Linked DNA regions of Drosophila melanogaster. The protein of the gene in region 1 interacts with the protein of each later gene in a pairwise test. Each region holds a gene or a part of one and is shown in the gene's direction. Other genes may lie near its edges.

Evidence for each region. The genes of interacting proteins can lie anywhere in the genome.
Region 2: the proteins of RpL31 (region 1) and CG14861 interact in a two-hybrid assay, tested with the Drosophila melanogaster proteins (one large-scale study listed by BioGRID).

The regions. Positions count from the first base shown.
Region 1 is NT_033778.4:9,582,541-9,590,348, forward strand, and holds RpL31 (ribosomal protein L31), read left to right. Parts: upstream 1-4,652; 5' UTR 4,653-4,688; intron 4,689-4,694; exon of another isoform or gene 4,695-4,798; intron 4,799-4,906; 5' UTR 4,907-4,942; coding exon 4,943-5,166; intron 5,167-5,236; coding exon 5,237-5,387; 3' UTR 5,388-5,449; downstream 5,450-7,808. Other genes in the region: Smyd4-1 (SET and MYND domain containing, class 4, member 1), read right to left, coding at 1-985, 1,041-1,693; Urod (uroporphyrinogen decarboxylase), read left to right, coding at 2,247-2,261, 2,388-3,131, 3,191-3,502; CG12929 (uncharacterized protein), read right to left, coding at 3,585-3,691, 3,750-4,055, 4,110-4,125; clos (closca), read right to left, coding at 5,466-5,790, 5,851-6,265; CG1827 (uncharacterized protein), read left to right, coding at 6,610-6,722, 6,776-7,808.
Region 2 is NT_033777.3:15,010,560-15,016,534, forward strand, and holds CG14861 (uncharacterized protein), read left to right. Parts: upstream 1-4,210; coding exon 4,211-5,305; 3' UTR 5,306-5,475; downstream 5,476-5,975.

The DNA.
Region 1 (7,808 bases):
GCATGTGCACTCAAATTTGTAGATGGCCTTGAGCGGATGAGATCGTTGTAGCTTTAAACTGTTTCTGTAATCCATTGTATAGCAATTGAAGATCTCTTCGCCTTCTAGAATGTCCTTTGCAGCGTAGTTCACCACGGAACATCCATCGAACTTGGTGCGAATTGAGGGTTCGCAGGCGTGGTTGCACAAGCTCAAGTAGGGCAGATTGATAGCCGTGATAGGATCCGAGTGGGATAGATTGTGCAGCTGGCCGCGTTTCAGGTGTCGAGGCTTTTGCCACAACTCCGGCTGCAGCATGACAAACTCTTTTGGCTCCATGCCAACTCCGAGCAACGCATCGCCTACATGCCCATTCGCCAGCAACTGGCCGGCGAAGCGCAGAATCAGTGCTGATATAATCAGTTGCCAATCTTCAATGCTGGCTGGCAATGAGTGGAACTGATCGTAGAAATCGGTGTGCTCTTTCAGGTAAAGTTGAAGGAGATTGGCACAGAGGATGTGGTAATTTAACTCCTCATCGATAGCCTGATCCAGTTGACTGACCATGCGCAGGCTTCGCAAATACTCTGGAGCGTTTTCACTCTCTTCCGGTTTTCGGGACAGATTCATTATTTCTTCCCACATACCCTTTGCACTGGTCATCTCTTGCAAATGAGGCCTTATGTAGGGAATGTAAGTCAAAAGCAATCGCAAGGCCAAATGCGAAATGCCCAAAAGTCGGAGGATATCCTTTCTGTAGGCGGCACACTCGAATTTGTGGATGGCCGAGTGCGCCTCCCGACACTTCCTAGAGCAGTAGACTACCCGCTGATGGCAATTGGGGCAGGGTATGGGTGCGCTCATTAAGGTGGCGGCGCACTGCTGGCAAATAAGCAGTTGCTCCAATGGAACAAAGCAGGAGGCGCGCTCTGAAAAGATTACGTTGCCTTTGCTAATCGCTTCCTTAGCCACCATATATCGACCACGGGGACCAGGATCTGTAAGGCTGAGAAGTAAAGGTTACAAATTAAGAAGTGGCCAGAATCGATTTGGAAACTTACATTTCCCCTAGAGATTTATCCACCACTTTCCCTTGTGTTTCCTGCTCTCTGGGTTGGTTCTTTAGCAGCTCCAGTTTCTGCTTCAGGTCTTCCAGCTGCTGCTCAAAGCTCTCTTTAAGCTGCAGCTGCCCGAGATAATCCAAATGCTCCTCTAGCGAAGCAATCTTCTTCAGCTTCCAGGCGCAGAAGGCCTGCCGCATGATCACCTTGTGCCGCAGCCTTTCCGGGTATCCGCACTCCAGCGCATTGGAGCAGTCGTCATAGGCTTCTCTGTAGTACCCGTACTCCTGCAAAGCTATTCCTCGGTTGGCAAACGCCAGCGACAGCTCTTCCACAGCATTCTCAGCCTCGAAAACGGCTTCCGAGTAAAGCCTGCATGCTTTCAGAACCGAGTCCTTGGAGGATCCCGATGCGGACTCTTTGAACATAAGGTTTCCCTCCTCGCGCAGATTTTTCGAACGTTCTGCGCATCCTTTCCTGTCAACCGGTTGCTCCAAATCCTGCAGCAAGTCGAGCGCCAGCTTCTGGAATATCTGCAGAATGTCCGCTGGCATGGATGCCAATGACTTGAAGGTTTCGAACTCATCCTTGTAGTTCTCATTCAGGGTTATCAGTTCGTTCTGCTGGGAGAAAGTTCTTGCCAAACGTTCCATGTCCACCGGCTGCAAAAATTGTTTACAAAAATCAAATCATGCGGTTGGTGAATTTTAGGTGCTTTTCGAGTAGCCGCTAATTAAAGAATCGATTATTTTTCAAAATTTAAGTTCTATTTCCCTAGTTAGTTCTATTCCTTATGGAATTATTTCACATTCTATTGAAATCAAGGGATATTATAAAGTCGTCGAAAACTTTTAACTTATTAAAATTAAATGTTTTATGATCACGGGTTATATCAAAATCTGGATTATCTTTCGGCCACTCGACACATAACAAACCCAAGCCAAGAAAAAGAATTAACTATTCATAAGTGGAATAATTTCTGATTCTCCTAAAAAGAAAAGTTGTCCAGATTAGCTAATTATCGATTTGCCGGCGACTATCGCACCTCTCCCACCACCAGGCGAAAACGTAAACAAAGTCTGGCAGAGAACGCACACTCATGCAGAATTGCGGGATTCCGTGACAGATTTAATCAAATTTACGGATTTCATCAGTGGAAATAACTTCGTTAGCCCTCTACTACCTTTTTAACAGCCAAAAGTCACTATGAAAGACGCAAAGGTGAGTTTCCCAGCTGATCGGAGTGGCGCCTGCAGTTACATCATGTCGTTTGGACTTCGATTGCTGTGTCTCTGTATTTTCCTGCTGAAAAACGTGAAAACTGATCAAATTGGAAATGAGTTTCAGCCCTTTCCCGTGCTCAAGAATGATAACCTGCTGCGCGCCGCACGTGGCGAGGTGGTGGACCGGGTGCCTGTTTGGGTGATGCGCCAAGCGGGGCGCTACCTGCCGGAGTTCCAGGAGCTGCGAAAGCACCACGACTTCTTCACCGTCTGCCGCACCCCGGAGCTAGCGTGCGAAGTGACCATGCAGCCATTGCGCCGCTTCGACCTGGACGCCTCCATAATATTTTCGGACATCCTTGTCATTCCGCAAGCACTCGGCCTCACCGTGGAGATGCACGCGGGCGTTGGTCCCGTTCTGCCACAGCCCATCGTGGTGCCGGAGGACCTCAAGCGCCTGACGCCGGACGGAGCCTTGTCCCGCCTCAGCTACGTGGGCGACGCAATCACCATGATGCGGCACAAGCTCGAAGGTCGAGTGCCGCTAATCGGCTTTACAGGAGCGCCGTGGACACTAATGGGATATATGATCGAGGGCGGTGGGAGCAAGACCATGTCGAAAGCTAAAGCTTGGCTCAACGAACATCCTGAGGACTCTAAGCTGTTCCTGAACCTGCTGACCGACGCAATTGTGGACTACCTGGAGATGCAGGTGAAAGCTGGCGCTCAAATGCTGCAGGTATTCGAATCGTCCGCCGAGCATCTCTCCAAGGAGCAGTTCCTGCAGTGGTGTGTACCCTACCTGAAGAGAATACGCGACGAGCTGGTGGACCGTCTCACAAAGAAGGCCATCCCCGTGGTTCCCATGGTAAGTTCCCATGGACTAAAACATTGATAAGATGCTTACTAAATGGAATTTCCATGTAGACGCTGTTCGCTAAGGGTGCTGGGCACTCGCTGAAGGAGCAGAGCGAACTGGGCTACGACGTTATTGGCTTGGATTGGACTGTGGATCCGCTGGAGGCACGCAATTTGGTCGGACCGAACATTACGTTGCAAGGCAACTTGGATCCTCAGGACATGTACCGCGATCCTGATGAGCTGCGCAACCTGACCACAGAAATGGTGCACAAGTTCGGCAAGTCGCGCTACATCGCCAATCTGGGACATGGAATCACGCCTCAGACTCCGATCACGAGCATGGAAGTGCTGGTGGAGGCGGTGCACAAGGCTCTGTAAGGTGTGCCTTTCACTAACCTTTAATTTTATGATGCTTTTATCGAATGCAATAAAGACAATTGGCCTTGGGTTTAGGGTAACCTCAGTGGAATGTTATATTTAGCTGGTGCTGGGCCTGTTCCTGCAAAATCTTATCGTATATCATCAGGATACTGCCACAGCAGACGAGCAGGGTGCCCAGAATGACTTCTGCGGGAGCAGTTGGTAAACAAAGTGGACAAGGTTGTTACTTAGACATTTAGCTTACTTCTTCCCGGCAGTTTTTCCCCCAGCGCATATCCGGTGATTGCCGTAAATGCGAAGCTCAGGGAATTGGCCACTGGCACCGCCACTGTAATACTGGCCCTCTGGAGCGTCCAAACGTACAGAGCACTCCCGCACTGGTTGAGACCGAAGGGTATCCAATAGCGCCACCGGGAGCCGATTGTGCGTGCCTCCTGGACAAAGTTACGCCACTTTGAGCCCGTATCACCAACCGACTCGATTCCCTGGCTGCCGAGGCGAATAAACGGATTGGTAACGCCCCACAAGAGGCCCACGGCAAGGAGTTGTGCTGGAAATGAGTTTTGAATGCCAAGCTCGATAATATTTTGGCTCACTTACTTACCAGCGATATCCAGCATTCTATTTTGTTTACATCCGATCAGCTGTTTCGTTGTACTTCATCAACTTGGAAACTACATTTTGGAGCAACAATTTGGGGCATTCCATTAATAGCCACACAACAATGCAATAATAATTTTACTATGAATAATAATAATAATAATAAAAAACTATGAATCGAAATATGTGCAACCATTTTATTAAGATTTTTATTAATTTTCATTCGAAAACATTAAACTTAATCTCCAATACTGGATTTAAATTTAGCACTGTTTAGTAAATTTTAATTAAAATAGTTTTTATAAAGTATTTGGTTTCTTTCTTTTAAAGTACATTTGAAAAACTAATTTGATTTTTTGTTTAGAGTTAAGTTTTTATTTTTTATTATTATTCAAACAAACCATGGATTTAGAAATTCAATTTGTAATTCCCCTAATATTGCGCTTTGCGGAATACCCTAAATTTACTTTTTCAGGCATAACGATATTCACGATGCCGGTCGCACAATGCAGCCACACTGTTTTCTGCTCACCTCTAGCATCTCTTCTTCTATCCTTTTCTTTTCGCTGCGTTTCCGGAAGAGGTTCGTAATTTGCGATTTTGTATATTAATCGGAAAACATCGCATATTTCCACGAAGTAAATGCAACAAAACTGTGTGGACAATGTTCCCAGTCGAAAAACCGATCACGGCGTATGTTCATTTTCGCTGTGCAACAATTTCTTTGCAAATGGAATATTCCACTGAAGTTTTGTTTATGTTGTGTGGCATTAACTAAAATTTGTTGTTACGCACTTGCAGGATATTGAGTAGCACCGTTTCGGGCTAAACAGCACAATGACCAAGACCAAGGGTGAGAAAATCAACAAATCCGCGATCAACGAAGTCGTGACGCGCGAGTGCACCATTCACTTGGCCAAGCGTGTCCACAACATCGGCTTCAAGAAGCGCGCACCCCGCGCCATCAAGGAGATCCGCAAGTTCGCCGAGCGGGAGATGGGCACCACCGATGTGAGGATCGACACCCGTCTGAACAAGCACATCTGGTCCAAGGGTATCAGGTGCGTAGTCCTTAATTTCCTCCGATTTAGCATCCTTTCTAATCCGCCGCTAATCCATCCACCCTTCCAGGTCCACTCCATTCCGCATTCGCGTGCGCCTGGCGCGTCGCCGCAACGACGATGAGGACTCCCCCAACAAGCTGTACACTTACGTGACCTATGTGCCGGTGTCCACGTTCAAGAACTTGCAGACCGAGAATGTCGAGTCCAGCGACGACTAAGCAACGTAATTGACGGCCAAGAAAACACGGTTAATAAAAAGTAATTTTTATTTAGAAAAAACAAACAAAACAAGTGACTTAAAGTGTAGTAAACTGTGGCTGCAGCAAGTAGACCGACTCCTCCGTGGCCATGGACAGCAGTCGCAGCTTATGGCTGGGCAGATAGAGCACCTCCAGGGCATGAGCCTTTGGCAAGGCGCTGTCGCCGAGGATTTGCTGGAATCCCGCTGCTCCGCGGTGCTGGTAGATGCGAAGCGGTTGCTGCGGCAGTACGTTGGACACACAGAGCAGTAGATCGTCGGACTCGGGCAGGTGCATAAAGCGCATTACCCGCGACTGTTGGGAGTCCTCGAGCTCCAGGACTTGGTCCAGTTGGAAGCTGCTCGTGTCTGGGCTGCCGAAGCTGCAAAACGAGTGAAATCCTTGTAAATGCCCTATGCGTGAAGTGCTTATGAATATCTACCTGTAAATCCGAATCTCTGCTGCTGGCGATGAAGCCATCAGCGCCACATATCCGCTCTCTATGCCAGCACCTCCTTGACTAAGAGCCATTTGCTCCACCTGCCCATCTATCAGCCTGCTTGATAGAGAGTAATTGCCATTACTCCACTTCCAAAGCTCCACCGCTCTGGGAGTACGAAGTAGAATGGTCATATCATCTGAATCAGCGACCGGCAACAACTGTTTTACGGCCCGCCTGGGCAAGATTGCTTCCCTGCTGTTGTTCTGCTCATCTAGGCATCGGATTACTATCTGGTTCTCCTCTTGAAGTGCCCGGCACTGAAATCCATATGATCTGAATTGCAGTTTCTGCGGGTTCTGTGCCTCCTCATTGATTGGATTCAAGTTTGTCTTGTTTAGTTGTGTCAGTGCTGTGCCTACAAAAAGGAAAGCAGTGTTTTATAGATGTGTCCGTGGAATACTCTTCCTATAATTCCACTCCAAATATAGGCTATACGGATAGGACTTTATCGATATTAATAGGTGGTTTTTTGCCTATATCTTAATCTATGTTGAAACATTTTCAAGTTTTAAAATATTGCTTAAACCAATTTGAAAATGTGTACGACTCTTTTAGAGGGTATATCAAAACAACAGATAAGAAAGCAAAACAGTGAGGTTAGACTGCTAGCATTTAAAAGCAGAACTCGACCATTTTCCGGCAGAACAGGGACAGATTGTGATACACCAAGACTTCTCGTAGAGACCATTACGATTAACCATGAGAAGGCACTTGCGGGCAAGTCTTTGGATCCTTTGTTTGGCCACCATGGCGTTTTCCATCCTTGCGGCAGTAAATACTTCGCCCAAACCAACGCTGACTTCGGCGTTTAGGTGAGCAGCGCATACAGCGTATTCTTTGTTCGCTAAGATCCGCCCCTTTGCAGTGGAAAAGCTGGCACCACTGCCGTGAAGGCGAATAAGACGACGGGTGAGCTGCTGCCCATGGTCATTAACACTTGGAACTTCACGGCTGCCAATGTGCTCGCCTGGCGAATCCTGAAGCAAAGCAAGGGTGGACTCCGGCAGACGCGGAATGCGGTAGTGGAGGGCTGCTCGAAGTGTGAGAAACTCCAGTGTGACCGAACGGTGGGCTATGGCGGATCGCCGGACGAGTTGGGCGAAACCACACTGGATGCCATGGTCATGGACGGGGCCACCATGGATGTGGGGGCAGTGGCTGGTCTGCGACGCATTAAGGATGCCATTAAGGTAGCCCGGCATGTTCTGGAACACACGCAGCACACCATGCTGGTGGGTGATGCGGCGTCAGCTTTCGCCAATGCTATGGGATTCGAATCAGAGTCGCTGGTCACGCCGGAGTCGAAGGACATGTGGTTACAGTGGACGGCTGAGAACTGCCAGCCAAACTTCTGGAAGAACGTTCACCCGGATCCCAAGGTCTCTTGCGGCCCGTATAAGCCGCGGCCGACTCCGCTGACCCGCTGGAAGGAGGACCGTGCCCGCAATGAGTATGAGATCGGACGCAAGAACCACGATACCATCGGCATGATCGCCATCGACGTGGAAAGCAACATCCACGCCGGCACCTCCACCAACGGGGCGCGGCACAAGATTCCCGGACGGGTCGGCGACTCCCCCATTCCGGGTGCTGGCGCTTATGCAGACAACGAGGTGGGTGCAGCCGTGGCAACCGGAGATGGAGATGTGATGATGCGCTTCCTGCCCTCCCTGCTAGCGGTGGAGACCATGCGGGCGGGAAAACCTCCGGCTGAGGCAGCTCAAGAGGGCCTTCGCCGCATTCTCAAGCACCACAAGGATTTCATGGGTGCTCTCATCGCCGTAGATCGGCTGGGTAATTATGGCGCTGCCTGCTACGGCCTGGCCGAATTCCCCTTTATGGTTAGCAGTCCAGCCGGAGCGGATGGGCCTACGCGCTTGGAAACGGTCAAATGCATA
Region 2 (5,975 bases), on another chromosome or scaffold:
CAAAAATTCTACCTCATGCCGTCTCTTGGGATACAATTATTTGTGGTAATAAAAGATTCATCAAAATTTAAATAGTACAGAAAATATTACATTTTTAAGGCTGTATATTTCCTGGCTACTGACAGCACTGACTGCAGCTCTCTATCCGTCTTGACCGATGTGAGTGTGTGGGTAAGTGTATACACACACTATACATACTAGACTGGAAAGTAGTTTTCAATTAGCTCAGTCCTGATAGCAAAACCCCATTGAGCAGTTCTGAGTGCTTTGTTTTCCAAGTTACTTACTCATGGGTCTACTGAATTTCGAAATTGGCTTGGTCGACCCATAAGGTGACCAATTCTAAGAAGAAATTAAAAATTATATTTGTCAACATTATTATTTCAGCTGCATTAGCTTAAATGCATTACATTGCTCGTTTACGCTATTTTTAAATTTTTATAAGCCTGAAGTCCTTTAATATTCCATATTAACAGCTTCTACTGAATAATACAAATTATTTAATTTGTAGTTTAAATATTTACAATATTTATTAAGGGTATTCACCATTCGCTCTCTTACCACTTCACGTCTCTACAGCTTGAAGCGGCTGACCAACTTTGGTTTCTGTTGGACAAAACAACAGCAAAAACAGAATCATCTGCCAATCGAAACGGTTGAGTAGGCAATAGGTGAAGACAGAAAAAGAGGAGACTACGGACTGCGGACTGCGGCACATTTGTTTTCATCGGCAATTGGCAAGTGAAAGCTTTTAGCGCGAATTGTGCACGGCAATCACTTCAAATGGAGAAGAAGCCCGGATCTTTTCCCTCCTCTGAAATGCCCATCTGTAGGACTTGGCAGTGGCTGCTGCTTAAGCCGACTTTTAAATTTGGTACCTTGGCTTTCAATAAATTCTAATAACAGGTGGACAATAAATAAAGTTATTTAAAATAATAAATATTAGGCTTTCACAGCAGTTAACAGAGTTGTTTGTTAAACGAAAATACCCTTTACAGGGCTCTATAGAGCATTACCAGTGCGTCATTGAAACCATTTCGCCTGCGAATCCTTTGGCCACCTGTTTTGGCTGGTCGAATAATTTCCCGCAAAATGCTAAGCAGATTACTTTTAATGCCTCGAGCGTAACGACTGCGGCAGTTAAATTTTGTATTCGCCGTCGGATCCTTGTGTAATGCAGTAGTAAATTTTTTAATGCTCTTTATGCCCTGATTCCGCGCTTTAAATCAAACTCCGGTTTACCCAATCAAGCCATTCATGCTCCTCCCATTTTCGAGTGTGCGGTGATTATTTGAGCATTGACTCCAATCGACTGCAGGTCACTGGGGGGGTCCTGAGTCCTGGCAGTGTACTGATTAATAAAGCCTCGGCCCCATCGGCGAATTTGTTTTATTCATAAATTTATAACCATCGGCCGTAACGAATGGCAGCCGTTTGGCGAATGTTTTATTGCGTACATAAATTGCAATTAGTCCCAGCTCCCGTTGGGATAAATGTGAGCACACGCATGTCGTCGCCAGGGAGTCACTGCCTCTCGAATGACGAACTGGCCGACGCTCCTGGCTAACATCGACCCCCTAGCCACGTCGGTGGGTTAACCCAAACATCAATTGACTTATTAATGTTTGTCCTGCCTGCCGGGAAAACAGTGGTGCAGGAGCAGAAAAAAAAAACTGCCTTCAAGACATGGTCGCCTCAATTGGATTCATGTGGCGCCCATTGGGACATTTCGGTAGTCTGGCTTTTGCCGCAGTCACGTCTGCATTTAATGTGAAATTATGACTTTAATGGCCATTCAAATATACTAGAAAAAAAGTGGGTGTACACTCCCAATTTTAAGGGAACTCTTTAATTGCTTTAAAAAGGCCAATGATCTTTGGTGAAAGGGACAAGGAATTAATAAAAAAAAAACACACCCTTCCTAAGGTCAGCATACAACTGACACTTGCAGCTGTTAAAATCTCTTAAAAATACCACAAAAAACAAAGTCCTGCAAGTGGTGAGTCCCACTTTGATTGATTGACTTTGGTGTGCTTTTGTGCATGTGTGTTTAGCTGAGTTCACAAAAAATAAAAAGCAGGATACTTTTTACTCCACGGACATCCACTATTTGTGTGTGCTTGTGCTGGGCCTTCCTTTCGCGCTGTAGGCAAACGCAATGTAAAAACATTTAAGGTTTCAATTAAGTGAAGTCCCGAATGGGGAAAAAAATAAATGGGCAAAAAAGGCAAGGGATCCGAATGACTAAAGATGGCCCGGAATGAGGCTGAAATTTTTCAAGCAATCAATTTGGCTTTCCAGACTTAAAAGAGGGTAAGTCCAATATATATATATTTGTGTTTGTCTTATACTTGTATAAACTTTTGCAGCAAATGCTGGACCAAGACCAAGTGCTTTTGGCTTTAAGCTGAACCTTTTTTGACAAACGATTGCTGCACAAGCCCAAAAAAAAAAAAGGTGGACGTCTAACCCTTCTATCAAATGTCAAAGTTTAGACTGTAACAGTCACTTGAGTTATATTGAGATTTATTATGGCTCGTCCTGCGGAGAGAAATGTGCCAGTTCCAATCATTAATTATGATCGACCGGTAGTCAGCCCGTTTTTATTTGTTTTCAACAAATATTATACTGGCCATGCTGGGCTGCAATTTATGCGCCAGCCTGCATTTTATTTTCACTTGCAGTTTTTCATGAACTGCCCCAAAAGTCGAAGCCCACTGGCAAAAAGTGACTCTTGGCCATTGGCCAAATGGCAGAGTTGCTCTTGTGGGTGTTCCCACTTCCAATGCTGGCTTGCACTGGCTCAAGAAATCAACAACTTACACTTTCTTTGGGCGGACCAGCTTCCGAGCCAGTTGTTTTGACACTTTTAGGCCAAACTAAAAGTTTCTTCTGCCCGAAAGCAGACTTTTCAGGTGCATAGCATTCCCCAAACGGAAATCTCTCTAGAGGGGATACAATGTATTTGCCCCCCTTAAAAAATATGCCAACTATTTTACCTTATTAATATATTTTTTAGTAGTATTTGTTTTATATAATTAAATCCTGTCCCCATTTCCCCGCCTTTTTTTGCCGTTTGTGGGCAGCGATTAAAGGTCACACAACTTTTGGCAACCAGCTGTCTTCCTGCCCTTTTTAAGGACCCTTTTCGCAGGACAAACTGTTCGTTTTTTGGTTTTTTATCTGGCCGTCGATGTTTTGGCTTAACCCAGTTGCAGGCACTTTTGCAAGTTCCCATTTCGCCGGCAATTTTATAATCAGAATTCTCAAAATAAGGAAAACTTTGCTATGTAAATTAAATGCTGAAACCAGCAACTTTTTTCTGACATTTCTCGCAGCTCGTTCTTCTTGTATGGGTAGTACAGTAAAAAAAAAAGAAAAACCAAATAAATACAAGAGCTGCAAAACAAAAAAGTCCTCTATATATACGTAATACGTACACTTTTTTTTATTGTCGCCGGGACAAAGGCAGCGGCAAATAAATGTGGTTTAAACATGACAAGTAGCCGTGGGCTGCCAGCTCGTTATCACCAAATATTTTTGCACACGATATGAGTGAATAAATAAGCCAGGCAGAAAAAAAGTAAGCGGCCAGGACACGGCAAATAGCTCCTGCGAAAGTCGGAGGTGGATCAGAAGCTATATAGCCGCATAGCCGCAACCAAGGCGACTTGGGTCAACGTTTATGGTCGTCACTTTTTGGCCGCTTGTTTGTCAAATAAAACGTGAAATGTCAGACAGTCAGACCGTCGTCTGTGCGCCAACCAAAAAGAGTAACCAATAAAAGCTTAATTAACTGTTTATGGCCATGGCATGCTAACAGGGTCCGCACCGAAAAGACGTGCCGACTTTTCGCCCTATGCCATTAATATGAAATGGACTGGGAACACAGGAGCCACGACCGTAAAAAGCTGGACCTTGTAAGTGGGGAATATGAAAGCCATTCAATCAATTTAGCAAACAGTCCTGGTTACTAATATGAATACTTACTTACTCGGAAATTATAGATGTGGTTTTTCTTACATGGCCTAAATCAAAGAATACATATTTATTTATCCACCATTGTTGATTTAACTGTCATTTTAGACAAATTTAAAGTGGTTCAATAATCGTAAAAATCTTTCATTGTACTTTTATATTTTTGTACAGCTTTGCGTCAAACAAAATTCTTGTGCTTCGATTATATTTGAGAACCAAATATATTGCAACTATGTCAGAGGAAGTCAGCATCCGGTACCAAATCAAAATCCCAGCAGCAACGTCGAACGAAATTCAGAGTTCGGTCGAAAATGATCCGAAAATCGAGTCAGAAAAGTTGATGGTTTGTGATGAAATAGACAGGACGTTGAATACTGAAGAGGTATCCGAGAACAATTTCGAGGATCCAGAAGAGGCGGGGAAGACTTTGGAAGCTCTAGAGGTAGCGGAAGATAACGAAGGCTACACAACACCGAAAGAGTTCAATGAATCTGATGAGGAGATCGAAGAGGTGAAGGAGCTGAGTTCTGGTACATCCTTTACATCCTGTAACTCGTACGGATATATGCGACAGTCGATCCTTTGCCACGCATCCACCTTGAGTTTGGATAGTGGCATTGTTATTGTGTCCCCAATCGATATTTTTCTCAATCGGGATCTGGATAAAGATCAGGATCAGTTACAAGAATATTCCATATATCAAAGTATTGAGAATAATACAATATCCGTAGATATCGTTATGGAGAAAATACCACTGACTGTCACTTCCGAAGACAGCGACTGTGATTACGAACTTAGTCTGGATGAAGTTCACCAACGCTTCTCGGCTTGGTTTAATCAAAAAGAAATAGATACGGCTTATTCCTGTTTCACGCAGATGGATGAAGACCTGGACGGGTACATAAGTCTGGGCGAACTGAAGAGATTCCTGGAAAAACTGGAGATGCCACAAACCCATTTGGCAACCAAAAACGTAATGACTCATGTGGTGGGAAATCACTTGGAACGTTTAACCTTCTGCCACGCGCTCCTTATTTACGGAACTGTTTTGAACCGCTTGGAATTACGAAAGGGACATCTTTTAGATCGGGAACGGCTACGCTTGGCCCGGAGTAAAGCGGTAGACGTGTCCAAAGTGGGTGTCAGTGGTGCAAAACAATTTTTCGAGGCCAAGATAGCGATGCAATCGGATCCCTTGCCACCTATTAATTCGGATCAACCAGTGGCTCGAATTGCAGTGCATTCATTGAATACGGAGAACCCTGGTAGAAGAGTCAATTTTAAATCTGCTGCCGCTCTTTTTAAAAAGCTTGAAAATGATCAATAGTCAACTCGCGTGCAAGCCTCCAATACAGACCATACAATTCGGATTCAATAGTGTTGCGCGAAATTTTCAGTTAAATTACTAAAAAAATTTTGAGTTGTATTATGGACTGACCTTGTATCTACTCAATAACTTTATATAAATCATTTGCCAATAAAAAACAATCCAGGAACGAAAACGCTGCTTAAGTGACCAATCAAAGGTAATCGCCGGGCTGCAGAAAACATACCTCCACTTTCTGATACTCCCACTTCTCGTGGGACGGGCTACTTTCCAATTTATTTTCCTTTTATTATGTCCAATAGTGATACCAATTCGACTTTTTTTTTTTGCTTAACCATCTTCTTTGCTAATTTTTGTTGCAAGACCAAAAGATATTAAAATCATGATGGTTATCTACTTGGTTTGCCCTCGCCAACTGAAATAAATTGTCAACTTATGTGGAGCAATGGTTTTTATCAGTTTAGTTTCCGTGAATCCCCTCGCTGTGAGGCAATTCTTCATTTCCTGGGCATCCCGGGAAAGCGGCACCACTGGCAGTTGGAATTTGGCTGGGGCAACGACTCCCCGAGGAGCGAAATGTGCGCCACACACGCCAAGTGGCAAGTTGGACGACTTTTCCGGAAGTTACCCGGCGGCCGCCAGTCTTCGGGGCATAAAAATATTTTCGTGC